4 linked regions of the Anolis sagrei genome follow. The protein of the gene in region 3 interacts with the protein of the main gene of each other region in a pairwise test. Links are inferred from orthologs where the notes say so. Each region holds a gene or a part of one and is shown on either strand. Other genes may lie near its edges. The genes, in order: NEDD9, TCHP, NAB2 and MORF4L1.

Evidence for each region.
Region 1: the proteins of NAB2 (region 3) and NEDD9 interact in binary tests that used the Homo sapiens proteins (3 or more experiments, as listed by UniProt). The two-hybrid records come from large-scale screens. The link is inferred for Anolis sagrei from reciprocal best matches to the Homo sapiens genes NAB2 and NEDD9.
Region 2: the proteins of NAB2 (region 3) and TCHP interact in binary tests that used the Homo sapiens proteins (3 or more experiments, as listed by UniProt). The two-hybrid records come from large-scale screens. The link is inferred for Anolis sagrei from reciprocal best matches to the Homo sapiens genes NAB2 and TCHP.
Region 4: the proteins of NAB2 (region 3) and MORF4L1 interact in binary tests that used the Homo sapiens proteins (3 or more experiments, as listed by UniProt). The two-hybrid records come from large-scale screens. The link is inferred for Anolis sagrei from reciprocal best matches to the Homo sapiens genes NAB2 and MORF4L1.

The regions. Positions count from the first base shown.
Region 1 is NC_090024.1:83,014,619-83,022,562, forward strand, and holds the start of NEDD9 (enhancer of filamentation 1), read left to right. Parts: upstream 1-4,941; 5' UTR 4,942-5,126; coding exon of another isoform or gene 5,127-5,138; intron 5,139-7,944. UniProt on the Homo sapiens protein: Scaffolding protein which plays a central coordinating role for tyrosine-kinase-based signaling related to cell adhesion. As a focal adhesion protein, plays a role in embryonic fibroblast migration.
Region 2 is NC_090034.1:61,406,250-61,414,214, reverse strand, and holds the start of TCHP (trichoplein keratin filament-binding protein), read left to right. Parts: upstream 1-4,960; 5' UTR 4,961-5,068; intron 5,069-7,965. UniProt on the Homo sapiens protein: Tumor suppressor which has the ability to inhibit cell growth and be pro-apoptotic during cell stress. Inhibits cell growth in bladder and prostate cancer cells by a down-regulation of HSPB1 by inhibiting its phosphorylation.
Region 3 is NC_090022.1:184,057,050-184,064,169, reverse strand, and holds the start of NAB2 (NGFI-A-binding protein 2), read right to left. Parts: upstream 3,012-7,120; 5' UTR 2,729-3,011; coding exon 2,616-2,728; intron 1-2,615. UniProt on the Homo sapiens protein: Acts as a transcriptional repressor for zinc finger transcription factors EGR1 and EGR2. Isoform 2 lacks repression ability.
Region 4 is NC_090029.1:23,454,215-23,461,586, reverse strand, and holds the start of MORF4L1 (mortality factor 4-like protein 1), read right to left. Parts: upstream 3,010-7,372; 5' UTR 2,939-3,009; coding exon 2,899-2,938; intron 1-2,898. Other genes in the region: ADAMTS7 (A disintegrin and metalloproteinase with thrombospondin motifs 7), read left to right, coding at 6,921-6,978. UniProt on the Homo sapiens protein: Component of the NuA4 histone acetyltransferase (HAT) complex which is involved in transcriptional activation of select genes principally by acetylation of nucleosomal histones H4 and H2A.

The sequences.
Region 1 (7,944 bases), on a different chromosome or scaffold from region 3:
GGCAAGTGTAGTTACTGGGATGTATAGTTCACCTACAATCAAAGAGCATTCTGAACTCCACCAATGATGGAATTGAACCAAATATGGCACACAGAACTCCCACGACAAACAGAAAATATATATATATCAATGATTGGTTGGAGGGGGGCACCAAAATACTGTTTGCTTACCGTTGAAAATTACCTAGGGCCGCCTCTGCCTACAAGCTTCCCAAACTCCAAAGAAAGGGACAATCCCTATAATAAGGGACAGCTGCCAGCCTTCCAGTAGGGTGACATGAAGTGGAAATTTCCACTTCTTACTCTTAGCAGATTGACTCCTTTGAATGTAACTGACTATTTTGCTCACAACGTATTACAATATGACCCCCATATCTGCAACACCAGTATAGGATTCCACTTATCAATTTTTGACAAAATATTGTATGTCTTCTCCAGGCATTTTCTGGGTCCTACAATGTGATTCTATGGTATTCTTGGGCCAGAAGTCTTATGTTTCAATAAAGTTCACTATTATCCATGATTTTGTGTGTCCATGTGAAATCTGGGAGTGTATCCACCATAGATATTGGAATCGAATTGTACTTCCAATCTTGGGGCAGACATGGATGAAGACCAAGAGACCCAAAAGGTTACTTTCTCTCTTATTAATTTGCCCACAAACTGTGATCTTTGTAAACTCAATGAGAGAAGAGGTTCCAGATATGAAATTCCCAAGAAGACCCCAACACTCATGACTTCAGGTGGGCAGCGAACCCACACTCTGATTTACTCCTTTTCCTTATAATGCATTTTTAAAAATTGCTATAATTTATGATTTAGTGATTTTTGATTTGGTTTATGTATGTAAGGTATTGAATTTTGTATATTTTGAATACTGTAGAATTTGAAGGGGCACGAATGGAGGGCGAAAGAGAAATGTGCCAAGAGGAAGGCGTGTCAAGCCAATCTGACCGGGACCGCCTTCCACCTGGAAACCAATGTCCTCACTGTGTATGCTGTTACGCCTGGGGTCTATAGATCTTAGTGAAAGATACATGGACGTGATATCTCTCCCCAGGGGATTGCTTCTTGCCCTCCTTTAGGAAACTGGAACTCCCAAGGACCAAAACACTGGATCTAACTCAAAATAGGTTTTATTGTTCACAAAGAGTTATCCCTTTAAGGCAATAAGCTGGAAGTTTCAAAGGGATAAAAGAAATATACATTGCAGTCTCTGGTTGTCTTGGGTCCAAGGAGACTTCGCAGCTGAGAAGCTTTTCCTGTTCCCTCTTTCTCAATGGCTGCAAATGCCTGAACATTCACAGCTCCAAATCCAAATGGCCTATATTTGAAGACACGAAGCCTTCCTCTGGTGCCACAGGATCGGTTTGAAGGCACTTGGGTCTCCTCAACGCTGTCCAGGGAGATCTGGGCATGAAGTATGAGTCCCAAGGGTAAAAACCTTAGAATTGGTGATTAGAGGTAACTTAATTAAAGGCTTTAGAGCCAAGTCTTTCTCATGTCCATCTGCTGAGATGTCTGATGGTAGAATGAAGAAAGAAACACTGCCCTGCTCTCTAGGAAGAGGTGGGGTCAAAACAATTGAGCAGGAGGAGCAATTCATCTGGTGCAAACAACATTGATTGACAGCTATAAATAACCAATCAATCCCACTATACATTTACAGAGAAAACAGATAAGTTGGGGCATGTTACACAGTTTAAACCTTTGCAAATTAAAGTTCTACACACAGGTGGCGCCACTTGTGCCGTCACACTGTGGGAGAAGATGTAGGTGGCTCCACAACCACCTACGGACCCACTGCCAGAACACTGACCTTGGAGGACCATCATCCTTGGACTACGAGGGATCACCTAAGTAAGTAAGAAAGTAAGTAAGTAAAAACTGCTATAATTTATGATTTAGTGATTTATGATTTGGTTTATGTATGTAAGGTATTGAATTTTGCCCTTATTTTTTGTAAACCGCTTTGAGTCCCCCGTCCCCATCCCCCCCGGTTGAGAAAAGTGGTATATAAATACGGTAAATAAACAGATAAACAATAAAATAAGCATAATTTGAATGGGTATGTTGCTGTTCTTTTGTATTTTGTAAGCTGACTTTTATTAGTTTCAAAAAATGATCTTTACAAATAAATTATATAATAATAAAAAAGCCAGGTTCCCTCCACCAAGCCTATCTGCTCTGCAACAGAATCCTTGTACAGTAATCTGGTAACAGAATACAGCCTACTGTTCGTTTTTAGGCCGTTGGAAGCCATCCGAGTCCATCTGTGACTTAGAAACACTGGGGCAGGTCCAACTTGGTCAGAATAAAAGAAACAAAACGTTGAGCTCTCAGCAGCGGAATGCTTTGAGACTCAGACTGGAGATTTTTTTCAGTCCAAATCATTTTGTCTGGTTGGAGTTTCTCCCAGCTGAGATAGTGAATGTCTGGCCAGGAATCATTTCAACCTAATAAAGAGGCCCACTTATAAAGTATGGACATAGCAGGTCGTATTTGATTCATCTCTGCTTGCCTTTGAGTGAACTGAAGCACCTTGTCTTAAACTGGCACATCATTTTAAAAATTGCCAACAAGGGGGAGGGGGCATCTATATTGTTTGAAACCACCTTGCCCTCCAGCATCTAATCAACTCGTAAATAAAGAACTTGTCCCCATGCCAAAAGAAACATTTGACTTTTAATGTTATATTATGAGTGTTAGGGAGGAAAGGACAGAAGGAAATAATTAAGGTGTGTTGTGCAGAGACTATACTATTAACCAGGAAAATTTAAGATGCAAAAGTCGGTTGCTGAGTTTTTTTGGTTGTATGGCCATGTCCCAGCAGCATTCAATCCTGACGTTTTGCCTGTATCTGTGGCTGGCATCTTCAAAGGTGCACAACATCTGATTTCTGCCCTGAAAGCTTTCAACAAGTAAATTACTTATCATGAATTTTATTTACTTATTGTACATAGGAAAAACCCAAACAGCATTGCGGTTGTTCATTCATTCAGTCATTTCTGACTCTTTGTGATCTCATGGACCAGTCCACGCAAGAGCTCCCTGTCGGCCGTCACCTCCCCTAGCTCCTTCAGAGTCAAGCCAGTCACTTCAAGGATGCCATCCATCCATCTTGCCCTTGGTCGGCCCCTCTTCCTTTTTCCTTCCATTTTCCCCAGCATCATGGTCTTATCTAAGTTTTCCTTTCTTCTCATAATGTGGCCAAAGTACTTCATCTTGGCCTCTACTATCCTTCCCTCCTATGAGCAGTCAGGCTTTATTTCCTGAAGTATGGACTGATTGGATCTTCTGGCAGTCCAAGGCACTCTCAGAACCTTCCTCCAGCACCACAGTTCAAAAGCATCTATCTTTCTTCGCTCAGCCTTCCTTATGGTCCAGCTCTCACATCCATACGTGACTATGGGGAATACCATTGCTTTAACTATGCGGATCTTCGTTGCCAGTGTGATGTCTCTACTCTTCTATGTTTTATCGAGATTGGTCATTGCTCTTCTCCCAAGAAGTAAGCACCTCCTGATTTCCTGATTGCAGTCTGCATCTGTAGTAATCTTTGCACCTAGATTATATATTATTATATTACAGGACTGCTCCATTTTCTGAGTGGAGGCCAAAAGGAGGCACTAGACAAAGGATTGTCCATTTTATTGGGAGGAGGGTTGAAGAGTTAAACCATTTCCCCATTTTCCTGTTATTCTCTCCCTCTTTTGGATCTTTTTGAACTACAACTCCAGAACTCAAGGTCAATGCCTATCAAACCCTTCCAGTATTTTCCGTTGAGTTCGGTGTGCCACATTTGGTTCAATTCCATCGTTGGTGGAGTTCAGAATGCTCTTAGATTGTAGGTGAGCTATACATCCCAGCAACTACAACTCCCAAGTGACAAGGTCTGTTTCCCCCAAACTCCATCAGTGTTCATATTTGGGCATATTGAGTATTCATGCCAAATTTGGTCCAGCTCCATCATTGTTTGCGTCCACAGTGCTCTCTGGTTGTAGGTGAACTACAACTCCAAAACTCAAGGTCAGTGCCCACCAAACCCATCCAGTATTTTCTGTTGGTCAGGGGAGTTCTGTGCGCCAAGTTTGGTTCAATTCCATCGTTGGTGAAGTTGAGAATGCTCTTTGATTGTAGGTGAACTAGAAATCCCAGCAACTCCAACTTCCAAGTGACAAGGTCTGTTTTCCCCAAACTCCACCAGTGTTCACATTTGGGTATATTGAGGTTTGGTGCCAAATTTGGTCCAGATCTATCATTGTTTGAGTCTCTGGATGCAGGTGAACTACAACTCTAAAACTCAAGGTCAATGCCCAACAAACCCATCCAGTATTTTCTCTTGGTCAGGGGAGTTCTGCGTGCCAAGTTTGGTTCAATTCCATTGCTGGTGAAGTTCAGAATGCTCTTTGATTGTAGGTGAACTAGAAATCCCAGCAATTACAACTCCCAAATGACAAAATCAATCCCTCTCCCCAACCCCACCAGTATTCAAATTTGGGCGTGTCGAGTATTTGTGTCCAACTTGGTCCAGTGAATGAAAATACGTCTTGCATATGGGATATTCACATTATAATTCATAACAGTAGCAAAATTACAGTTGTGAAACAGCAACCAAAATAATTTTAGAGTTGGGGATCACCACAACATGAGGAACTGTATTAAGGGTGAGAAACACCGATATAGTTCAATCGTGAACCATGCAGGGTTATATGGCTGTGTGGAAGGGCTCTGGGTTTGGAAAACTTTCCTGGGCTCCTCCCCCTGCTCCTGCTCCCCCTCCCCCTCCCTTTCGTGCCAACGCAGAGCGCTAATGAATGACCCGTTCTAAAGGGGAGGCGGGGTCACCAGGAGGCATTCGCCCCCAGCTCAGGAACGTCTGGCGCGCTGGCCAATGGCGGAGAGGTATGCAAATGAGCCATCGCTTTGCCCCCTCCGCCAGGCAAACAATGCGCGGAGAGCGGCGGAGACTCCGAAGGGTGCTCGACCTCCGGCGGGAACGCGCCTCACTCCACACACGGGGACGCGCTTCGCTTCTAAGCGGGCAAAGGCTATGGTGGGCGAGGGGATCTCGCTGTAAAGCGGCCGGATTTCCCCCCAAAGACGCCCCTCATTAAGCTTGCGAGGATGAAGTACAAGGTAAGAAAACGGGAAGGAAAGTTTTGGCTTTTTGTCTAAGTTGGAAAAAAGCGCGCTGGGGCTTGGAAGGATTGCCCGGCTTCCTTCAATGGAAAAGGAAAGGCGAAGGAAGGAGAGAGATGATAGGTTGAGCCTGGTCTCCCTCCAAAGGATTGATTCCAAAGCTTTGAGCCATGGCAGGGAAAGTGGTGTCAAGCTGTTTTGATTCTACAGATGCCCTCACAGGGAAGGGAAAGGGCTGTCTCCAGAGTCAGCTTCCATCAATAACCTTCTTCATTCGACATGTTGCTTCATCACACTGGAGAAAAAATCCACTTAAAATCCGTTTTCTGCCTCCTACAGCATTCTAGGCTTTCTAGTTTAGGGAGGAGATTTTAACAGCCTCACTAAACTACAAACCTCAGTATTCTGCAGGAGGTAGAAACCGGATTTTAAGTGGATTTTTTTGTCTAGTGTGATGAGGAGTGAGCGTGAAGTTTCTAGCGCGGGCGACCTTTGCAGCACAGCAGGCGCGCTTCCTCCAGTCGCTTCCGTTCGGTTACTCCGGATTTAAGGTCGCTCTCAAGACCCAAGCTGATGTGATCGGAGCTCAGGCACTTTCTCCACTCCTTACCTGCGAGGAAAGAAGCCCTGTGGGGCTCAAGGGGACTTGACAGTCTAGGAATGCTTTGCTCAAGTCCTTATTTCTGAGCAAACAACATTTTTTTTTGTTCAAAGCTTTTATCAGAAATTCTTCCCCTTGTGTGTGTGTATGTTGGGAGGGAGGGCAAGCTGAGATCTGGGTTGTTGTGTATTTTCTTTAAACAGGGGCTGGATGGCCATCTGTCAGGGGTGATTTGAGTGCAATGTTCCTGCTTCTTGGCAGGGGGTTGGACTGGATGGCCCATGAGGTCTCTTCCAACTCTGATTCTATGATTCTATGATTCCGGGCAGTCTGGCCATGCTCCAGAAGCATTCTCTCCTGACGTTTCACCCACATCTGTGGCAGGCGTCTTCAGAGGTTGTGAGGTCTGTTGGAAACCAGGCAAGTGGGGTTTATATGTCTGTGGAATGTCCAGGTTGGGAGAAAGAACTCTTGTTTGCTTGAGGCAAGTGTGAATGTTGCAATTAGCTAGCTTGATTCACATATAATGGCCTTGCAGCTTCAAAGCCTGGCTGGTTGCTGCCTGGTTCTGTCTTCCACCCTGGACCTGTGAGTTTACCAAGCTGTCTGGCCATGTTCCAGAAGCATTCTTCCCTGACTTTTTGCCCACATCTATGGCAGGCATTCTCAGAGGTTTTGAGGTCTGTTGGAAACTTAGGCAAGTTGGGTTTATATACCTGTGGAATGTCTAGGGTGGGAGAAAGAACTTTTTTTTGATTGAGGCAAGCGTGAATGTTGTAATTGGCCAGCTTGATTTACATTTAATGGCCTTGCACCTTCAAAGCCTGGCAGGTTGCTGCCTGGTTCTTTCACCCACCCTGGACCTGTGATTTTCGGGGTTGTCTGGCCATGTTCCAGAAGCATTCTCCCCCGACTTTTTGCCCACATATATGGCAGGCATCCTCAAAAGTTGTAAGGTCTGTTGGAAACTTAGGCAAGTTGGGTTTATATACCTGTGGAATGTCCAGGGTGGGAGAAAGAACTCTTGTCTGATTGAGGCAAGTGCGAATGTAGCAATTGGCCACCCTGGTCATTCCACAGATACATAAACCCAACTTGCCTAGTTTCCACCAGCCCTGGCCCTTGAGTGCTCCAGCTGGAGGTCAGCTGTGACCAGCAGTGCTGTGGAGTTTGAAGAGGCACGAATGGAGGGCAAAAGAGAGAAACGTGCCAAGAGGAAGGCATGTCAAGCCAACCCTGACCAGGACTGCCTTCCACCTGGAAACCAATGCCCTCACTGCGGGAGAAGATGCAGATCAAGAACAGGGCCCCACAGTCACCTACGGACCCACCGACAGAACACCATCATCCTATGAGGGATCGCCTAAGTAAAGTAGTTTCCAACAGACCTCACAACCTCCGAGGATGTCTACCATAGATGCAGGTGAAATGTCAGGAGAGAATGCTTCTGGAACATGGCCTTACAGCCCGGAAAACACACAACACCCTAGTGATTCCGGCAATGAAAGCCATTGACAATACAAGTTGAGATCTTTTCTCGGAAGACTGACTCAAACATCCTTAAATACATGGCTTAGGGAAGGTGAGATTCAGACATTGCAAGAATGTTTTGTGAATTTTTCTTCTTGTTCTCTGCTGCCTTTGAGTTAAAGTTGAAAGACCTCCAAGTCAGCCTGTCCTCAAGGTCTTGCAGACCCAGGGTTGTGGCTTCTCGGATTGAGAACTACTCCAAAGATCAACACAGGCAGTCCCCAAGTTTCGAACAAGATTGGCTCTGTAGGCTTGTTCTTCAGTTGGATTTGTATGTAAGTTGAAACAAGGACATGTTTAAAGTGTAACTCCAGCCAAAACTATTTTTTTTCCAAAGCTTTGGATCGCATCGGTAAGGGTTAATACCCCTGTGGGGTTTGTTTTGCTGCCTGTGCCCCTGTTCAGAAGATTTCGCCTCATTTTCCAACCCTGGGATACTTTGATTTTGAAAAAATAGCTTGTTGTGGAAACAAGGACTGGTGAGAAAGCTTCAGTGAAGACATCTTTTCCCGCATGATAACTCTTTCAGGAGCAAATTTCCCATTTTAGGGGCAGTTTTCTCTGACGTCCTGTTTTCCTACGCCCATTTTTAACTATGAGTAGAATGTACGTTGGACGTTTGTAACTCGGAGATTTGCTGAACATGGACCCTACAGCAAATGAAGTCTCAAC
Region 2 (7,965 bases), on a different chromosome or scaffold from region 3:
GGCCATGTGTGCGCGCGCGTCGGGGAGTTTGCGCCAGTGCGCATGCTCAGTTGTTTTGCCGTTTTTTGTGGTTGTTGTTGTGTGGTTTTGATTTCTGAGTGGATTAGTTTGTACCTAGTGGGTTGTCCTTGGGGCATGGCAATTTTGGTACAGTTTTGTGGAGAGGTTTTAGAGTTTTGCTTCCCCGTTGGACGCCAGTAGGAAATTTATATATATAGATAATATGATAGTAATATAATAATATAATCTATATATTTATATCTATTCTATCTATATCTATATCTATATAATAAAAGTCAGTGTTTGGGGCAGGTTGGATCATGGATGATAGGATTTGCAGTGTTTTCAAATGCTTCAGCACCCACAGACCACCAGCCCACAACAATGAGAGATCAGGACCAAGCTTGGCACACAGAGCCCCCATGACCCACTCTACATCCTGGTGCGGTTTGAAGGAGGATGGACCATGGATTATGGGACTTGCAGTACATTCATTTACTTCTGGAGATCCCTGCGACCTACATCAATGACAGATCACGACCAAACGTGGTACACAGAACCCCCATGACCCAGTCTATATCCTGGTGAAGCTGATAGAAGCTTTAGGAGGGTCTTCCCCAAAGGGAGGGACCCTGAGACCGTACCAAAAAGGGTCCGCTACTTTGGCGAGCCAGAGAAAGCCTGATTTCAGCAATTTTGTTGAGATTAAAATTCAAAATAAGCTCACTGAAAGTCGAAGAAAGGCACCGAGGTGGTTTTATTTGCGATTCAGCTGAAAAGGATGCTAAGTAGCGATAATTCGTCTACAGAGCATACCAGTACAGAGATCAGAGGCATTTTTATAGGAATTTCCAGGTTTGAAAGTTCAAAATTCCCGCCCCCAGCCCTCCGCCCGGCTCGCCAGTGATTGGCTGATGAGATTCCAGCTGGGAGGAGGCACGGCCGGCCGCCCTGCTTCAATGCCAATCACGGAGCTCCCCCGCTTCACAGGGGCCATTGGGAAAACTTTCCACGCTTCAGCGCCTTGGCGAATCAGGAGAAGGGAGGCGGGACGAAACAGAAACAATGAGCCGGCGAATGAATCAATGGGTGCGATGCCCACCCTATTGTCCTTGAGTGGATTTGCGATGATCTTTGATTACCTTTATCCTGGTCTCCAGCCACAATCAGATAAGGCACAAAGGGTGGCTTGGGGAAATGTCTGGTTTATGAATGGAGTAAGCAAAATTGGGAAGGCGACCCCCCAAGGATCGTCTCGCTCCTATTGTGAAGATGGCCAAAGGTTTGCCAAGGACATTCCAGACTGATGGCCATAATCCTGGAACCACATGGAGATTCCAGGTCTTATTGTCCACGCCAAAGTTCTGGGATATGTGTTTCTTTGTTGCCTCTGATTGCCTTTCCAACAGCTGGCCGCTTCCTTGAGGTGACTCTCCTACTATGAAGGGGCGAGGGGTGGGGTGCCAAGGAAAAATACTTGGGAAAAGAAACAGGAATCCAGATAAATTCATGTCAACCTCCCTTCTCTCCCCCCACCTGCCAGAGAAATTGGTTAATATAATTTTATTAAGACGTGAGTCCATGGTTCATGTGGGGCAATTCATATGTAGGGAATGAGTTCATAGGAGCAAGAAAAGGGGATTAAAGAAAGCCAAAAAGTCTCAAAAAGGTGTCTGATCATTTCCACTGAGCCAAAGGATGGATTCCAGCAATGTCAAGATCAAGTTGGTCTTTTGTCCTTGGGGAACTATAACTCCTTCCAAGGACTTGGGCCTCCAGGCCAGGCTCTTCCCCGTGAGCCTTATGGGGTAACCACACCAAGTATTCGGGGGCATGGGTCTGGCGGAGGCGATGAGATGGCGGGGCGCAGCAGCGCAGAAGTAACGGAGCCAGCTTTTTGACAATCAGCTGTTCCTCGCAAAATATATTCTTAAATTGGTTATTTCCCGAGTGTAGAAGTCCAAAAGGCAAAAAGCGAGATAGCAGATAGGGTTAGAATTAAGCTAGGAAAAATATGCCACCGAAATGGGGGCGTTTGGCCATCTCGCGGATGACTCAGAGGGGAAGACTCAGTATCCGCGGTTAGAAAAGTGCAGATTCGGCCTCCCCGGAATGCCAGGAAGGCATTCCGGGCAAGCCTGCAGTCTCCTGCGGCCTGGGAAAGATTATTTTCAAGCATTTAGATAGTTCAGGCAAGGAAAGAACCAAAGTATCAAGCTAGAGGGTTAAAAGTTGCAATTTCATAAATCTTTATTTGGGGTTTTGTTACAAAGTAGGGGCTGGGTAGGAAAGTGGGAAGAGAAAGCATAGGGCTGTTTTGAGTCCTGGTTGAGCTCGCTGTTGGGGCTCATTTAATCAGTTTGGCCCAATCCTTGCTTCCAGGAACTGCGGAAATCCCTGCTGCAGGTCAATTTAATTTAAAAGCAGAGGTCTGAGCTGCGCTCGGTATCACTGGTGCTATTTGGAGGAGGAGGATAAATTGATGATGGAACTTGCAGTACTTTCACTCACTTCTTGAGATCACTGTGACCATCAACAATGACAGATCAGGACCAAACTTGACACACAGAGCCCCCATGACGCACTCTACATGCTAGTGTGATTTGGAAGACTTTGGACCATGGATAATGGGACATGCAGTATCTTCATTCACTTCTAGAGACCACTGTGACCATCAACAATGACAGATCAGGACCAAACTTGACACACAGAGCCCCCATGATGCACTCTACATGCTAGTGTGATTTGGAAGACTTTGGATCATGGATAATGGGACATGCAGTATCTTCATTCACTTCTAGAGATCACTGTGACCATCAACAATGACAGATCAGGACCAAACTTGACACACAGAGCCCCCATGACGCACTCTACATGCTAGTGTGATTTGGAAGACTTTGGACCATGGATAATGGGACATGCAGTATCTTCATTCACTTCTAGAGACCACTGTGACCATCAACAATGACAGATCAGGACCAAACTTGACACACAGAGCCCCCATGATGCCCTCTACATGCTAGTGTGATTTGGAAGACTTTGGACCATGGATAATGGGACATGCAGTATCTTCATTCACTTCTAGAGACCACTGTGACCATCAACAATGACAGATCAGGACCAAACTTGACACACAGAGCCCCCATGACGCACTCTACATGCTAGTGTGATTTGGAAGACTTTGGACCATGGATAATGGGACATGCAGTATCTTCATTCACTTCTAGAGACCACTGTGACCCAAACCAATGACAGATCTTGGCACACATAGCCACCATGACTGACTTTACATCCTGGTGCGATTTGGAGGAGGACGTACCATGGACGATGTGACTTGCATATGGGAGTTGTAGTTCATCCACACCCACTGAACCCAGCCGACATTGGATCTAGGCGAAACTTGATATCTATTAAAATATAATAGGTTTATTTATAAGTCACTTAAATACAAATGCATTGGGTTTTATTCATTTCAAAGTGCTGACTTTAGCCTAGAAAGCCCTAAACCAGTGGTTCTCAACCTCCCTAATGCTGTGATCCCTTAATACAGTCCCTCATGTTGTTGTGACCCCCAACCATAATATTGTTTTCGTTGCTACTTCATAACAGTCATTTTACTACCGTTATGTATCATAATTTAAAAATCTGATATGCAGGGTGCATTTTCATTCACTGGGCACAAATACCCAATGCACACAAATGTGAATGCTAGTGGGGTTGGGGGAGGATTGATTTTGTAATTTGGGAGTTGTAGTTGCTGGGATTTATAGTTCACTTATAATCAAAGAGTATTCTAAACTCCACCAATGATTTGAACCAAACTTGGCTCCCATGACCAATGGAAAACACTGGAGGGGTTTGATGGGCATTGACCTTGAGTTTGGGAGTTGTAGTTCACCTATATCCAGAGAGCACTGCGGACTCATGCCATGGTGGATCTGGACCAAACTTGGCATGAATACTCAATATGCCCAAATGTGAACACTGGTGGAGTCTGGGGAAAATAGATCTTGACATTTGGGAGTTGTAGTTGCTGGGATTTATAGTTCATTACAATCAAAGAATATTCTGAACTCAACCAACGATAGAATTGGCTCAAACTTCCCACATGGAATCCCCATGACCATCACAAAATGCTGTGTTTTCTTATAGTCTTTGGCGACCCCTCTGACACCCCCTCGCGACCCCCTTAGGGGTCCTGACCCCCAGGTTGAGAAACACTGCCCTAAACGGTTCCGGTCCAGCTTCCCTGTCCAAACGTATCTCTCCTTATGAACCATCTAGGAATTTAAGATCGTTTGGGGAGGCCCTGCTCTCGATCCCGCCTTCTTTGCAGCTGCGGCTGGCGGGGACGAGAGACAGGGCCTTCTCAGTGGTGGCCCCTCGGCTGTGGAACTCCCTCCCTAGGGATATTAGATTGGCCCCCTCCCTCCTGACCTTCAAAAAAAATGAAAACATGGCTTTGTGAACAAACCTTTGGGAATGCAGTGCAATAGATAAACACGGAATTATGTAAGACTGAAACATGGAACGGCTTAGACGAAAGTGAGCTTAAGTGGAAGATATTGCTTATTATGTTTTTAATTGTTTTTGTATGGATTTTATAATTTTTTTTTTGTATTTTGTGAATTGTTATGGCATCGTCTTGCTGCCAATTTGTAAGCCGCCTTGAGTTGCCTTCAGGCTTGAGAAAGGCGGGATTAGAAATATCGTAAGCAAATAAATAAACAAATTTCACGCATAAGGGGAAAAACAACAACACTCCTATTAAGTGCTTTCCAATGGGAACCCGGAAGTGTAGGATGGGAGATCGCTTCCAATTATACTGAAGCCCTTTGTCGTTCTCAGTTCGCTTCGTGCTAGTGGATGGAAGGAAGGAAAGCGGTTCTTAAAGCGAGTGGCCACGCCCCCTTCGCGCGAAGGGAGAACAAGGAAAGGTTTCTCTCCCTCGTCGGCTTCCGTAGCTCCCAACCGGAAGTGTTGCTATGGCGACGCCAGAAGTGGGGAAACCGTTAAAAATGGCGATGAAGGAGGAGGAAAGACGGTAAAGCAGCAAGTTCCGAAAAAGGTACTTAATTATAAAAATATATATATTTAATTAAAATTGTTAATTAGTAACTGATAATTAATATATGTATGTGTATAACATAATAATCTCTAAAGGGTCTCCTGTATAATAATAATAATAATATAATAAAATATGATAATATAATTTTTAAAGTAATACAATAATAATATAAAATAACTATAATATAATATAATGTGATAATAAAATTTAAAGTAATTAATGTAATAGAATAATACAGTATAACATAATAATAGAATATATTATCTATATAAATAAATAAATGTAATGTTAGTTCGTGCTACCATCAGAACTCCAAAACCACTGGGGGAATTGACACCAAATTTGGACACAAGACACCTAACAGTCCAATTTATGTCCTCCACTAAAAAAAAATGATTTTGTCATTTGGGAATTGTCGTTGCTGGGATTTATAGTTCACCTACAATCAAAGAGCATTCTGAACTCCACCAATGATGGAATTGGGCCAAACTTGGCACACAGGGCTCCCATGACCAACAGAGAAAACTGGAAGGGTTTGGTGGACATTGACCTTGAGTTTGGGAATTATAGTTCACCCACATCCAGAGAGCACTGTGGACTCAAACAATGATGGATCTGGACCAAACTTGGCACGAATATTCCATATGCCCAAATATGAACACAGATGGAGTTTAAGGGAAATAGACCTTGACATTTGGGAGTTGTAGTTGCTGGGATTTATAGTTCACCTACAATCAAAGAGCATTCTGAACTCCACCAATGATGGAATTCAACCAAACATGGCATACAGGACTTCCATGACCAACAGAACACACTGGAAGGGTTTGGTGGGCATTGACCTTGAGTTTGGGAGTTGTAGTTCACCTACATCCAGAGAGCACTGTGGACTCAAACAATGATGGATCTGGACCAAACTTGACACAAAAATTCCATATGCCTAAATATGAACACAGATGGAGTTTGGAGGAAATAGACCTTGACATTTGGGATTTGTAGTTACTGGGATTTATAGTTCACTACAATTAAAGAGCATTCTGAAACCCACAAATGACAGAAATGGGGCAAACTTCCCACACAGAACCGCCATGACCAACAGAAAATACTTAAGGCCATCCAGTCCAACTCTCTTCACCAGACCATGAAAATGTAATCAGAGCCCTCCTGACAAAGAGCCATCCAGTCATAAATATAGATAGATAGATAGATAGATAGATATGATTCTCTCTCACACACATAGATATAGTATCACAGATTTTAAAGAGACCCGTAAAGAAGGACAATGATATGTTGCATGTTCCAGGGAGAGCAAATCAGACACTCTCCACATCACACCTTGAGTTTGGGAGTTGTAGTTCACGTACATCCAGAGAGCACTGTGGACTCAAACAATGAGGGATCTGGACCAAACTTGGCACAAACACTCAGTACGCCCAAATATGAACACAGATGGCGTTTGGGGGGAATAGACCTTGACATTTGGGGGTTGTAGTCACTGGCATTCACAGTTCACCTACAATCAATGAGCATTCTGAACCCCACGAACAGCAGAATTGGGGCAAACTTTCCACACAGAACCCCCATAACCAACAGAAAATACTTAAGACCATCCAATCCAACTCGCTTCATCAGGGCAAGAAAGTGTAATCAAAGTCCTCCTGACAAAGAGCCATCCAGCCATAAATATAGATAGATAGATAGATAGATAGATAGATAGATATGATTCACACACACACAGATATAGTATCATAGATTTGAAAGGGACCCTTAAAGAAGGACTATGATATGTTGCATATTCCAGAGTAGGCAAACCAGACACTCTCCACATCAACACTGACAAAGAAATAGCAAGAAATACTGTTTACCCACAAGCATAAAGAAATTACATATATTAGAAACCAACACTTTCCCATTACTTTATTTTCCAGATCAACAGACTGGGCCACAGCAACACGTGGTAGGGGACAGCTAGTAAATATAAGTGTGTGTGAATTGTATCTATCTGTTAATATCTGTGATTGGATGGCTCTTTGTCAGGAGGGCTTTGATTACGTTTTCTTGCTCTGGTGAAGAGAGTTGGTGGTCGGGACCCCTGGGGGGTGTCGCGAGGGGGTGTCAGAAGGATCACCAAAAACCACCAGAAAACACAGTATTTTCTATTGATCATGGGGGTTCTGTGTGGGAGGTTTGGTCCAATTCTATTGTTGGAGGGGTTCAGAATGTGCTTTGATTGTAGGTGAACTATAAATCCCAGTAACAACAACTCCCAAATGTTAAGATCTATTTCCCCCAAACTCCATCTGTGTTCATATTTGGCATATGGAGTATTCGTGCCAAGTTTGGTCTAAATCCCACCAACTACAACTCCCAAATAGCAAAAGCAATTTTTTTTAGTGATGGTCACTCCTTGGGTTAGTAGATGTCTTGTGGCCAAATTTGACGGAAATTCGTCCAGCGGATTTTGAGTTATGATGTCACTCAAAACAAACAGAGCATTAATATAGATAGATAGATAATAATATATAATATATAATAATAATATACAATAATAATATATAATAAAAGGAGCCCCACTGCCCGGATTCCAACGGCCAACCTTTCAGTCAGCACAGCAGGTTAAACAGTTGAGCTGCTGAACTTGCTGACTGAAAGATTAGCCATTGGAATCCGGGCAGTGGGGTGAGCTCTCGCTGTTAGCCCCAGCTTCTGCCGACCTAGCAGTTCTGGACCACATTTGGCACAGAGTCCCAACATTGCCTGGTTTTGGGGAAGATTGACCCACGATTCTGGGAATTGCAGTTCACCCACATCATTATATATTTCCTAATGGGAGCATTGATGAAAAAATAAATCAAAGACTGTTTTTTTCCTAATAAATAGTGTTACTAATTAACTAAATG
Region 3 (7,120 bases):
CAGTATTTTCTGTTGGTCATGGGAGTTCCGTGTGCCAAGCCTGGTTCAATTCAATTGTTGGTGGAGTTCAGAATGCGCTTTGATTGTAGGTGAACTATAAATCCTAGCAACTACAATGCCCAAATGACAAAATCAATCCTTCCCAACCTCACCAGTATTAAAATTTGGGTGTATCGGATATTTGTGCCAAATTTGGTCCAGTGAATGAAAATAGATCCTGCATATCAGATATTTACATGATGATTCATAACAGTAGCAAAATTACCATTATGAAGTAGCAATGAAAATATTTTTATGGTTGGGGGTCACCACAACATGAGGAACTGTATTAAGAAGGTTGAGAAGGAATGCTTTTGGTGGTGGTAGTTTGTAAGAGACGGGGAAGGCAGCAGCCCACTCCCACCATTGCCTTTCCTCTCACCATTACATATCATGCTTGCCAAAATGCTTTAGGAGGGCTTTAGGGGCAGAATTCTGTGGCCCCGTTTAAGAGAATGGCACATGTCCCTTAAACCATATTTGGAAGTAATACAGTAAAGTAAATACACATCTGAACAGGGAGGAGCCTGCTGGACTGGAGTGGGAAAAATGTTGCCCTTCAGGTGCCATGAAGTTGCAAGTCTCAGCAGCCAGGAGAGCTAATAAAGAATGATGGGAGTTGCAAAACCACCTTGAGCAGTGCTTCCCAATCTTTGGTCCTCCTGGTATCCTGGGCTGGATCTACACTGCCCTATATCCCAGGATCTGATCCCAATTATCTGCTTTGAACTGGATTATCTGAGTCTACACTGCCAAATAATCTGGGATAAACAGATAACCTGAGATTAGATCCTGGAATATAGGGCGGTATAGATTCAGCCTTGGACTTCAGTTCCTACAATTCCTAACACCTGGTAAGATGGCTAGGATATCTGGGAGTTGAAGTCCAAAACAACTGGGAGGACCATAGGTTGAGAATCACTAATCTAGAGCACTGACTTTTCCTTTTTTGGAGGACAGCTGAAGCATTTTCTGCACAACCAGCCCAACTGTAAACATTGCACATTGTTGTAAACATTGCACATGGTTCAGATATGTTTCGCTGTTGCCCATTTTTTGTGATTCCAACACTGAGCTAAGGGGTCCCCATTTGGGATCAGGACCTACAGTTTAAAAAACAGTATTCTGTTAGCAAAAATGTGCAGTGTTCACAGTGGACTCTGCAGAAGATGCTTTAGTTGTACATCACAAAAAGGGGAAATCAGTCTGCTTAGCAAGCCTTGCAAATGCAGATTTTGTCACAGAATCGTAGAGTTGGAAGAGACCACATGGGTCATCTAGTCCAACTCTTTGCCATGCAGGAAAAACACAATTAAAGCACCCCCGACAGATGGACATCCAGCCACAGTAAATGTTTAGTGTTCACATCAATTTGACATACATCTATAGCCAGGTCATATGAAACATTATTGGGTAAAAAGGGGTCATGAGTGGTCTTCCTTTTAAGCACCTCCTAGTATAAGACCATGAAGCCCAGTCTAAAACTACCTAACTACTTCACTTCCCAAAACAGCTTCTAAATTAAACTTTTTTTTCATGTCAGGAGTGACTTGAGAAACTGCAAGTCACTTCTGATGTGAGAAGTGAGATGTCTGTCTGCAAGGATGTTGCCCAGGAGACACCCAGATATTTTTACTATCCTGTGGGAGGCTTCTCTCATGTCCCTGCTTGGGAAGCTGAAGCTGACAGATAGGAGCTCACCCTGCTCCCCAGATTCGAACTGTGACCTTTTGGTCAGCAGTCCTGCCGGCACAAGGGTTTAAACCCATTGCGCTACCGGGGGTTCCATGAGTTTATAATCAGTGCTTGGAAAAATGTGGCCTCTCTACTGATGTCCTCATTTTCTACCCCGAGGTCCGCTTCCCCATCTTCATCTTTCTATATTGACAAATCTACTGTATATTTATGTCTATTCAGCAGTGGGACTTTCTGCTTCGGAATGTGGTGGAAGCTTTTAAATAGAGGCTGGATGGCCATCTATCAGGGGTACTTTGATGGTGCTTTTCCTGCATGGCAGGGGGGATGGACTATATGGCCCCTGTCGTCTCTCCCAACTGAATTATTCACACACACCCACATACACAAATATATATATATATATATATATATATATATATATATATATATACACACACACACACACACACACACACATATACATTCACAAACACACACACACACACACACACACACACATATATACACACATAGTTTTGTTTAACTGACTTCCTCTTGCATTTGTTGCTTAAGCCCCTTCTACACAGCTGCATAAAATCCACATTGAACTGGATTATCTGGCAGTGTGGACTCTTCCAGACAGGCCCTCTATCCCAGGTTTTCGGTTTTCTGTTTATCCCAGATTATCTGGCTGTGTGGACTCACATAATCCGGTTTAAAGGAGAAAACTTGGGATCAGATGCTGGAATAGAGGGCCGATCAGCCCCAGAGGAGGAGAGAACTATGATGCCTCTGCATGGAGCCAGGGCAGCTCAAGCGGTGTGGAGCTGCATCAGTTCCACCGTGTAGAGGGGTGTCCTAACTCGCTCTCCCTTCCCCCTCCTCCCAAAGGCACTCACGGGTTTCTTGCGTGGCTCCCTTCCGAGGCCGCGGGTGGGGCATGGGCCAAGGGGTTGGCTCGCCCTGCAGGAGGCGCCTTCCTCTTGCTCTTCTCTCCGAGGGCGCAAGGCATCCGACGCCGCTTTTGGTCCCCTCTTCTGTCCGTGGAAGCTCTCTCTCAATCGCTCTCTTTCTCAATCGCTCTCTCTGCTCTTCCTTCCTTCCCTCCTCCTCCCCTTCTCCTTCTTCCTCCTCCTCCTCCTCCTCGCCTCTCCCTCCCTCCCTCTCTCTGTGCGCTCAGCCTTTGGCACGGAGTTGCCTCCCACGCCGCCGGATTTACAATGGCTCCGCGTTGCTTGTGCTGCTGCTGCTCTGCCTCAGTGGCGCGTGGGAGGCTCGTGGGCGGAAGAAGCAGCAGCAGCACTGAAGGGAGGGAAGTGAAGGGAAGGAGCTGCAGCCACACACTGTCCGGTTCATGCAGTTTGGCATCAGGGGGAGTTTGGAGAGATTCCAGCCCTCGTGGGCAGGCAGAGAAGGCTACAAAGGCCCTTTCCACACTGACATCGAACATCCAGATGATCTGCTTTGGCAGTGTAGACTCATGTAATCCAACTCAGAGCAAAACATGTGAACCAGTGGTTCTCAAACGGTGCTCCTTCAGATGTTTTGGGTCTCATCCCTGCTCTGCACAAGTCTCTTGTCACATCAAGTCTCCAGTCCACAATGAGGAGCTAGACTCAAGATAGGAGTAGGCTGAGGGATTCCTCCCCCACATTCTTATGCATATTTACCAAAAAGGGCTTTGGGTTCTTATAATTTTTTTCGGGCTATATGACCATGTTCTAGAGCAGTGTTTCTCAACCTTCCCAATGCCGCGACCCCTTAATACAGTTCCTCATGTTGTGGTGACCCCCAACCATAAAACTATTTTTGTTGCTACTTCATCACTGTCATTTTGCTCCTGTTATGAATCGTAATGAATCTCCAGCAAAGGATCACCGCCTTGTCGGGGCGCTGGAGCTTGAGCACCTCAATGATGTCATGAGCGAAACCGTGAAGGGCCACCCAAGACGGGACGGTTGTGGCAGAGAGGTCAGACCAAGCGTGATCCCTGGGGAAGGCAATGGCAAACCACTCCAGTATCCTTGCCAAGAAAACTAAATGGACCAGTACAACCAGAGATATGTCGGTATGCCATTGGAAGATGGGACTCCCAGGTCGGAAGATGGCCAAAATGCTACTGGGGAGGAGCAGAGGATAAGTTCAACTAGCCCCAGATGTGATGACGCAGCTAGCTCAAAGCCGAAAGGAAGGCTAGCGGCCGACGGTACTGGAGGTGAACGACGAATCCGATGCTCTAAAGATCAACACACCATAGGAACCTGGAATGTAAGATCTATGAGCCAGGGCAAATTGGATGTTGTTATTGGTGAGATGTCAAGACTAAAGATAGACATTCTGGGGGTCAGCGAACTGAAATGGACTGGAATGGGCCACTTCACATCAGATGACCACCAGATCTACTACTGCGGACAAGAGGAACATCGAAGAAATGGAGTAGCCTTCATAATTAATAAGAAATTCGCTAAAGCAGTGCTTGGATACAACCCAAAAATGACAGAATGATCTCAATTCGAGTGCAAGGAAAGCCTCTCAACATCACAGTGATCCAAATATACGCCCCAACCACAGCAGCTGAAGAAGCAGAAGTAGATCAGTTCTATGAGGATCTGCAGGACCTACTGGATAATACACCAAAAAGAGACATTATTTTCATTACAGGAGACTGGAATGCCAAGGTGGGAAGTCAAATGACAACAGGGATCACAGGCAAGCATGGTCTGGGAGAACAAAACGAAGCGGGACGCAGGCTGATAGAATTCTGCCAGGAAAACTCGCTGTGTATAACGAATACTCTCTTCCAACAACCTAAAAGACGGCTTTATACATGGACCTTACCAGATGGTCAGCACCGAAATCAGATTGACTACATCCTTTGCAGCCAAAGGTGGCGGACATCTATCCAGTCGGTGAAAACAAGACCTGGGGCTGACTGTAGCTCAGATCATGAACTTCTTATTGCCCAATTTAGAATAAAACTAAAGAGATCAGGGAAAATACACAGACCAGTTAGATATGATCTCACTAACATTCCTAGCGAATATACAGTGGAAGTGAAGAACAGATTTGAAGGACTAGATTTAGTAAACAGAGTCCCAGAAGAACTATGGACAGAAGTCCGCGACATTGTTCAGGAGGCGGCAACAAAGTACGTTCCAAAGAAAAAGAAAACCAAGAAGGCAAAATGGTTGTCTGCTGAGACACTGGAAGTAGCCCAAGAAAGCAAAAGGAAACAGTGAAAAGGGGAGATATGCCCAGTTAAATGCGCAATTCCAGAGGTTAGCCAGAAGAGATAAGGAACTATTTTTAAATAAGCAATGCATGGAAGTGGAAGAAGACAACAGAATAGGAAGGACAAGAGACCTCTTCCAGAAAATTAGAAACATTGGAGGTAAATTTCAGGCAAAAATTGGTATGATAAGAAACAAAGATGGCAGGGACCTAACAGAAGCTGAAGAGATCAAGAGAAGGTGGCGAGACTATACAGAAGATCTGTATAGGAAGGATAACAATATCGAGGATAGCTTTGACGGTGTGGTGAATGAATTAGAGCCAGACATCCTGAGGAGTGAGGTTGAATGGGCCTTAAGAAGCATTGCTAACAACAAGGCAGCAGGAGATGATGGGATCCCAGCTGAACTGTTTAAAATCTTAAAAGATGATGGTGTCAAGGTGATGCATGCCATTTGCCAGCAAATATGGAAAACACAAGAATGGCCATCAGACTGGAAAAAATCAACTTATATCCCCATACCAAAAAAGGGAAATGCGAAAGACTGCTCAAACTTCCGTACAGTGGCCCTTATTTCTCATGCCAGTAAGGTAATGCTCAAGATCCTGCAAGGAAGACTCCAGCAATACATGGAGCGAGAGTTGCCAGATGTTCAAGCTGGGTTTAGAAAAGGCAGAGGAACGAGAGACCAGATTGCCAATATCCGCTGGATAATGGAGAAAGGCAGGGAGTTTCAGAAAAACATCTACTTCTGCTTCATTGACTATTCTAAAGCCTTTGACTGGGTGGATCATAATAAATTGTGGCAAGTTCTTGGTGGGATGGGCATACCAAGCCACCTTGTCTCTCTCCTGAGGAATCTGTACAAGGACCAAGTAGCAACAGTCAGAACTGACCACGGAACAACAGACTGGTTCAAGATTGGGAAAGGCGTACGGCAAGGCTGCATCCTCTCACCCAACCTTTTAAACTTGTATGCAGAACACATCATGCGATGTGCGGGGCTGGATGAATGCAAAGCTAGGGTGAAAATTGCTGGAAGGAACATTAACAACCTCAGATATGCAGATGACACCACTCTGATGGCCGAAAGCAAGGAGGAGCTGAGGAGCCTTCTAATCAAGGTGAAAGAAGAAAGCGCAAAAGCCGGGTTGCAGCTAAACATCAAAAAAACCAAGATTATGGCAACAAGAATGACTGACAACTGGAAAATAGAGGGAGAAAATGTGGAGACCGTGACAGACTTCGTATTTCTAGGTGCAAAGATTACTGCAGATGCAGACTGTGGCCAGGAAATCAGGAGATGCTTACTTCTTGGGAGGAGAGCAATGTCCAATCTCAATAAAATAATAAAGAGTAGAGACACCACACTGGCAACAAAGATCCGCCTAGTCAAAGCCATGGTATTCCCTGTAGTAACCTACGGATGTGAGAGCTGGACCTTAGGGAAGGCTGAGCGAAGGAAGATCGATGCTTTTGAGCTGTGGTGCTGGAGGAAAGTGCTGAGAGTGCCTTGGACTGCGAGAAGATCCAACCAGTCCATCCTCCAGGAAATAAAGCCCGACTGCTCTCTGGAAGGAAGGATACTAGAGACGAAGTTGAAGTACTTTGGCCACATCATGAGGAGACAGCAAAGCCTAAAGAAGACAATCATGCTGGGGAAAGTGGAAGGCAAAAGGAAGAGGGGCCGACCAAGGGCAAGATGGATGGATGGCATCCTTGAAGTGACTGGACTGACCTTGAAGGAGCTGGGGGTGGTGACAGCTGACAGGGAGCTCTGGCGTGGGCTGGTCCAGGAGGTCACGAAGAGTCGGAGACGACTGAACGAATGAACAACAAATGAATCGTAATGTAAACATCACATATGCAGGATGTATTTTATTCACTAGACCAAATTTGGCACAAATACTCGAAACACCAAAATTTGAATACTGGTGGGGTGCGGGCTTGATTTTGTCATTTGGGAGTTGCAGTTGCTGGGATTTATAGTTTACCTAGAATCAAGGAGCATTCTGAATTCCACCAACGATGGCATTGAACCAAACTTGGCACACAGAACTCCCATGACCAACAGAACATACTGGAAGGGTTTGGTGGACGTTGACCTTGAATTTTGGAGTTGTAGTTCACCTACACCCAGAAAGCACTGTAGACTCAAACAATGATGGATCT
Region 4 (7,372 bases), on a different chromosome or scaffold from region 3:
AGTGGTATATTTCGACTTCTGCTCTCAAAGACAGGCAGGGCTTTGCTATCTGCCACTAGGAATCAAGGACATGTTGCCTTTTAATAGTGTTCAATAATTTTCTTTTAACAAATGCTTAACTGTCTTGTGTTTTCATATTTATTTTTTCAATAAAGTTTTGGTAGTTTTCTCTGATTATCTCAATACTATAAGTAACAATAATAATGTGGCCAACTCAGGCTCTCCCTCGGGAGATTACTGCCCCCAAATTGTCAAATATTAAAATAGGGTCAGACTGCATTCATTCTACATTGTATATCAGGCACGGGCAAACTTGGGCCCTTCAGGTGTTTTGGACTTCAACTTCCACAATTCCTAACAGCCTGTTAGGAATTGTGGGAGTTGAAGACCAAAACACCTGGGGGGTCCAAGTTTGCCCGTGCCTGATGTGGAGGCACTCTATGCTTTATATATTCTATCATTCATATATGTATTGAGATATATATCTATATGTCTATGTATGTGTATTGGTACTACAAAGACTCCCTTTATAGCTTGATGGAGATGGACCAACATGACATACAAATGCTTCATGGCATACAATCCAGAGGAAGAAAGGAAGGGAGAGGCAGAGAAGGAGAGAGAGAAGGGAAGAAACGGAAAGGAGAAGGGATGGAGAGAAGGAGTAGAAAGAGAGAAAAGGGGAGGGGACAAAGAAGGAGAGAAAGAGACAAATGGAAAGGAGAAGGGAGAGACTAGAGAGCAAGAAGGGAAAGGAAGAGAGGGAGAAAAGAAACAAATGGAAAGGAAAGAGGAAGGGAGAGGAGAAAGAAAGGGAGAGAAGAAAATGAGAAAGAGATTAACGGAAAGGAGATGGGAGGGAGAGAATGAGAGAAAGAAAAAAGGAAGGGAAAGAAAGGAAGAAAAGTAGAGAGAGACGGGGACAAATGGAAAAGAAAGGGAGAGAGGAGAGAAGAGAGAGAAACGAGGGGAGAAGGAAGGGAGGGAAAAGAGAAGAGAGAAAGAAAGAAGGAAAGAAAGAAAGGGAGAGGAGAGAAAAGAGAAAGGAAGGAAAGAAAGAAAGAAAGAAAAAAGGAGGGAGAAAAAAGAAAGAAAAGAAGGGGAGGAAAAGAAGGAGAGAAAGAGAGAGAGAAGGTGATGAATGGAAAAGAGAAGGGAGGAAGAGGAGAGACAAAGAAAGGAAAGAAAGAAGGGAGAAAAGACGAGAAAAGAGAAAAGGAAGGGGAGGAAGGAGAAGGGAGAGAGAAAAGAGAAAGAAGGGAAAGAAAAGGAGAGAAAAGAGGAAGGAAGGAAGGATGGAAGGAAGGAAAGAAAGAAAAAAGGAGGGAGAGAAAAAGAGAAAAGGGGAAAAGAAGGGGAGGGAGGGTGAGAAGGAGAGAAAGCGAAGGGTGGGAGGAAAAGAGATGGAAGAGAGAGAAAAGAGGGAAAGAAAAGTAGAGGAGAGAAAAGAGAAAGGAAGGAAAGAAAGAAAAAAGGAGGGAGAGAAAAAGAAAAGAGAGGGGAAAAGAAGGGGAGGAAGAGAAGGAGAGCGAAAGAGAAGGGGATGAATGGAAAAGAGAAGGGAGGAAGAGAGAGAGAAAAGGAAGGGGAGGGAGGGGGAGGAAGAGAAAAAAGAGAAAAAGAAGGGAAAGAAAGGGAGAAAAGAGGAAGGAAGGAAAGAAAAAAGAAGGGAGAGAAAAGAGAGGGGAAAAGAAGGGGAGGGAGAGAAGGAGAGCGAAAGAGAAGGGAGGAAGAGAGAGAGAAAAGGAAGGGGAGGGAGGGGGAGGAAGAGAAAAAAGGAAAAAGAAGGGAAAGAAAGGGAGAAAAGAGGGAGGAAGGAAGGAAGGAAGGAAAGAAAAAAGAAGGGAGAGAAAAGAGAAAAAAAGAAGGGGAGGGAGGGTGAGAAGGAGAGAGAAAGGGATGAATGGAAAAGAGAAGGAAGAGAGAGAGAAAAGGAAGGGGAGATAAAAAAGAGGAAAATAGAAGGGAAAGAAAGGGAGAGGCGAGAAAAGAGAAAGGGAGGAAGGAAAGGAAAGGAAAGAAAGAAAAAAGGAGGCAGAGAAAAAGAGATGGAAAAAGAAGGGGAGGGACAGAAGGAGAAAGAGAAGGAGATGAATGGAAAAGACAAGGAAGAAAGAGGGAAAAGGAAGGGGAGGGAGAGAGAAAGAGAAGGGGATGAGATGAATGGGAAAGGAAAGGAAGAAAGAGAGAGAGAATGAAGGGGAGGGAGAGAAAAAAGAGAGAAATAGAAGAGAAAGAAAGGGAGAGGAGAGAAAAGAGAAAGGGAGGAAAGAAAGAGAAAAAAGGAGGGAGAGAAAAAGAGAAAAGAGATGGAAAAAGAAGGGGAGGGAGAGAAGGAGAAAGAGAAGGAGATGAATGGAAAAGACAAGGAAGAAAGAGAGAGAGAACGAAGGGGAGGGAGAGAGAAAGAGAAGGGGATGAGATGAATGGGAAAGGGAAGGAAGAAAGAGAGAGAGAATGAAGGGGAGGAAGAGAAAAAAGAGAGAAAGAGAAGGGAAAGAAAGGGAGGGATGGTGGAAAAAAGAAAAAACGAGGGCAGGAACTGAATAGAAAGGGGAAAAGATACGAGGAAAGGAAGAGGAAGAAGGTGGAGGAGGGACAGCAAAGGAAGATGAAAAGGGAGGGAGGGAGAGGGGAAAGGGAGAAGAGAAGGGGAGAAGGTCTGTGAGGAGAACGAGAGGAAGGGATGCATCCTCCACAAAGGAAATGCTATTCTGTGGAAGGCAGAAGGCCTCCCATCCCAGGGGAGCGTGTAGGCCTCCTTGGCTGGCTGAGAGGCCCCTCAAAGGGGGTGCCCTTCCCTGAGAAGGCCTTCCTCCTCCTTCCTGAGGGGAAATAAGTGTGCCCACCAGCGTGCCCCGGCTACCCCTGGCCTCCCTCCCCCGGCGGCCCCCTCACCCTCCTGGAATTTGGGCTTCGGGTCCTGCTTGGGCGCCATTTATACGCGGCTCCGCCTCCGCCCCGCTTGCTCGCCCGCGCAGGCGCAGTCCGGGCCAGAGAGTAGGAGGGGCCTGAGGCGCGCGTGCGCAGTAAACGGGAGCCCGACTCGCCTCCGCCTCCCTCCCTCCCTCCCTCGCGCGAGGCATGCCGGTCTCAGTAGTCTTAAGCGATCTGAGGGGGGAAAGGGAGTTGAAGTCCAAAACAACTGGAGGGCCGGAGTTTGCCCAGGCCTGAACAGGAAAATAATAACACTCACTACTCCTTTATCTTGGTTGTGTGCCTCGAAATCGTTGCTTTTTTATCAAAGACAAGCACCTTTCTTCCTTGTGCCGCCAGAGGGCACTTTTGCATCAAGGAAGCTTTGATGTGTCCTATGACTATTTCTCATGCTCAAGATCCTGCAAGGAAGACTCCAGCAAGACACACAGAGAGAGTTGCCAGATGGACAAGCTGGCCCATCTTTAATGGGCTCAAAGCCAACCTTAAAATCTCTGGCATAGACACTGAGAACTGGGAAGCCCTGGCCCTTGAGCGCTCCAGCTGGAAGTCAGCTGTGACCAGCAGTGCTGCAGAATTTGAAGAGGGTGAAAGAGAGAAATGTGTCAGGAGGAAGGCGCGTCAAGCCAACCCCGACCAAGACCACCTTCCATCTAGAAACCAATGTCCTCACTGCAGAAGAAGATGCAGAGCAAGAATAGGGCTCTACAGTCACATACAGTCCCACAAGAATACTGGAAGACAATCCTCCTTGGAAAACGAAGGATCGCCTAAGTAAAGTAAGTAGACACTGAGAACTGGGAAGCCCTGGCCCTTGAGCGCTCCAGTTGGAGATCAGCTGTGACCAGCAGTGCTGCAGAATTTGAAGAGGCACAGATGGAGGGTGAAAGAGAGAAATGTGCCAGGAGGAAGGTGCGTCAAGCCAACCCCGACCAAGACCACCTTCCACCTAGAAACCAATGTCCTCACTGCAGAAGAAGATGCAGAGCAAGAATAGGGCTCTACAGCCACATACAGTCCCACAAGAATACTGGAAGACAATCCTCCTCGGAAAACGAAGGATCGCCTAAGTAAAGTAAGTAGACACTGAGAACTGGGAAGCCCTGGCCCTTGAGCGCTCCAGTTGGAGATCAGCTGTGACCAGCAGTGCTGCAGAATTTGAAGAGGCAGAAATGGAGGGTGAAAGAGAGAAACATGCCAAGAGGAAAGCGTGTCAAGCCAACCCTGACTGAGATCGCCTTCCACCTGGAAACCAATGCCCTCACTGTGGGAGAAGATGCAGGTCAAGAATAGGGCTCCACAGCCACCTACGGATCCACAAGAATGCTGATCATGGAAGACCCTCGTCCAACGAGGGATCGCCTAAGTAAAGACAAGCTGGCTTTAGAAAAGGCAGAGGAACAAGAGACCAAATTGCCAATATCCAGATGCTGGATAATGGAGGAAGGCAGGGCTTTTCAGAAAAACATTTATTTCTGTTTATTGACTATTCTAAAGCCTTTGACTGTGTGGATCATAATAAATTGTGGAAAGTTCTTTGTGGCATGGGCATACCAAGCCACCTTGTCTCTCTCCTGAGGAATCTGTATAAGGACCAAGTAGCAACAGTAAGAACTGATCATGGAACAACAGATTGGTTCATGATTGGGAAAGGCATACAGCAGGGCTGTCTACTCTCACCTGACTTATTCAACTTGTATGTAGAACTCACCACGTGATATGCAGGGCTTGACGAATGCAAGGCTGGGGTTAAAATTGCTAGAAGAAATATTAACAACCTTAGGTATGCAGATGATACCACTTTGATGGCTAAAAGCGAGGAGGAGCTGAGGAGCCTTCTAACCAAGTTGAAAGAAGAAAGGGCAAAAGCTGGGTTGCCCTTAAACATCAAAAGCACCAAGATTATGGCAACCGGACTGGGTGATAACTGGTAAATAGAGGGAGAAAACATGGAGGCAGTGATAGACTTTGTATTTCTAGATGCAAAGATGAATGCAGATGCAGACTGCAGCCAGGAAATCAGGAGATGCTTATTTCTTGGGAGGAGAGCAATGGCCAATCTTGATAAAATAGTGAAGAGTAGAGACATCACACTGACAACAAAGATCCGCATAGTTAAAGCAATGGTGTTCCCCGTAGTCACCTACGGTTGTGAGAGCTGGACCAGAAGGAAGGCTGAGCGAAGGAAGAGAGGCGCTTTTGAACTGTGGTGTTGGAGGAAAATTCTGAGAGTGCCTTAGACCATGAGAAGACCCAACCAGTCCATACTTCAGGAAATAAAGCCCGACTGCTCATTGGAGGGAAGGATATTAGAGGCAAAGATGAAGTATTTTGGCCACATAATGAAAAGACAAGAAAGCTTAGAGAAGACCATTATGCTGGGGAAAATGGAAGAAAAAAGGAAGAGGGGCCGACCAAGGGCAAGATGGATGGATGGTATCCTTGACCTTGAAGGAGCTGGTGGTGGAGACGGCCGACAGGGAGGTCTGGCATGGGCTGGTTGATGAGGTCACAAAGAGTCAGAAGTGACTCAATTAATAAACAACAACAATGGCTTAAATTGGGACAATGGGTACATCTACACCAGGGTTTCTCAATCTGGGGGTCACAAGGAGGGTGCCAGAGGGATTGCCAAACAGTGTTTTCTGCTAGTCCTGGGAAGAGGAAGGAGGATGTAAAAGAATGGAGGAAGAGGAGGAAAAGGAGGAAGAAGAAAAAGAGGAGGAAGAAGAAGGAAAAAGAAAAAGAGGAAGAAGAAGAGAAAGAATAATCATAGAATAATAGAACTGAAAAAAACCACCTGGCCACCTAGTCCAACCCCCTGCCATGCAGGAAAAGCACAAAGAACTCCCAACAGATGGCCAAGCTTACAAGGAGGGGAAAAAAGGAAGAGGAAGGAGTAAAAGGAAAAGCACAAAAAAGAAGAAGAAGAAGGAGAGGAAGGAGGACGAGATAGAGGAAGAAGAGAAGGAAAAGAAAGAAGAGGAGGAAGAAGTGAAAAGGAAGAAGAAGAGGAAGAGGGGAGAAAAAAGAGAAAGAAGAAGAGGAGGAAAAGGAGGAGGAAGAAGTGGAAGAAGAGAAAGATGAGGAAGGAGGAAAGGGAAGAGGACAAAGTAGAGGAGGAGGAGGAAGAACAGAAGGAATAGGAGGAGGAAGAAAAAGAAGAGGGAGAGAAAGAAGGGAAGGGAAGAAGGGGAAGGGGACCAAGATGAGGTAGAAAAGGAGGAAGAGAAAGGAGTAAAAGGATGACAAAGATGAGGAGGAAAAAGAGGAGGAGAAAGAGGAAGAAGAAGAGGAAAAGAAAGAAGAGAAAGAGGAGAAATAAGTGAAAAGGAAGAGGAGGAATAAGAGGGAAGAAAGAAGAAGAGAAGGAGGAAAGGGACAAGGACAAAGAAGAGGAGGTGGAAAAAGAAGAGGGAGAGAACGAAGGAAAAGGAAGAAGCAGAGAAAGAGAAAAATGTGGTAGAAAAGGAGGAAGAGGAAGGAGTAAAAGGAAGAAGACAGAGAAGATGAGGAAGAAAGAGGAAGAAGGGAAAGAAGAGGAGGAAAAAGAGGAAGAGGAGGAGGAAAAGAAAGAAGAGGAGGAAGAATATGTGGAAGAAGAGAAAGATGGGGAAGAAGGAGGAGGAGGAAAAGGAAGAGGACAAAGAAGAAGACGAAGAGAAAAGAGGAAGAAGAGGAGCCTCTTTCCTTCTCTTTCGGGGCTGCGGTGCCTCCTCATGGGGGGTGGGGGTGGGAGGGGCGTGTCAGGAGGAGGTTGGGGTCCCCTTGAGCCCCTCCCCCTCCCCTTTGGCCCCTCCCCTTTCCGTCCCGCAGGGTCCCGGCAGGAGTGGCCGAAGGAGCCTTCTTCCTCCTCCTCCTCCTCCCTCGCAGAGCCGTGCCTCGGCCGGCATGGAGGGGGCCGGGGGTCTTCCTCCTCCTCCTCCTTCTCTTCTTCCTGGGTCCAGCAGCTAGGAAGAGAGAGACCCCCGACCCTCCCGGCCATGGCCCAACGCCTCCTCCCGGCGCTCCTCCTGGCCGCCTTCGCCGCATCCTCCGCTGGTGGGTCCGGGCCCCTTGAGATTGCCAAAGAGGGGAGGGAGACCTGGAGGTGGGGTGGGGGGGGCAAGGGGTCCCCGGAGCATGCGCAGAGGGCGCGGAGGGGGAGAGAAGCCTTGCACGCAGAAGCCCCCTGAATCCCTCCCTGGTGTGCCAAGCCTCTCGCTTTCTTTCTGTATTCCTCCCCAGGAAAAAAAAAGTTTTCTAGGCAAGTTTTGCACAGCAAGGGCTGGTCTTTGCCTTCCAAAGCCTCCCAGGATGCCACAGCATTCCACCAAGACAGTTAAAGTGGTGCCAAAGTGCATTTCTTTTGCAATGTGCATGCACCAGAGTTTTTCCATAATCATTCCCACTAGGATCACAGCAGGGGGTTCTGTGGTTTGAGCTAGGCACATAG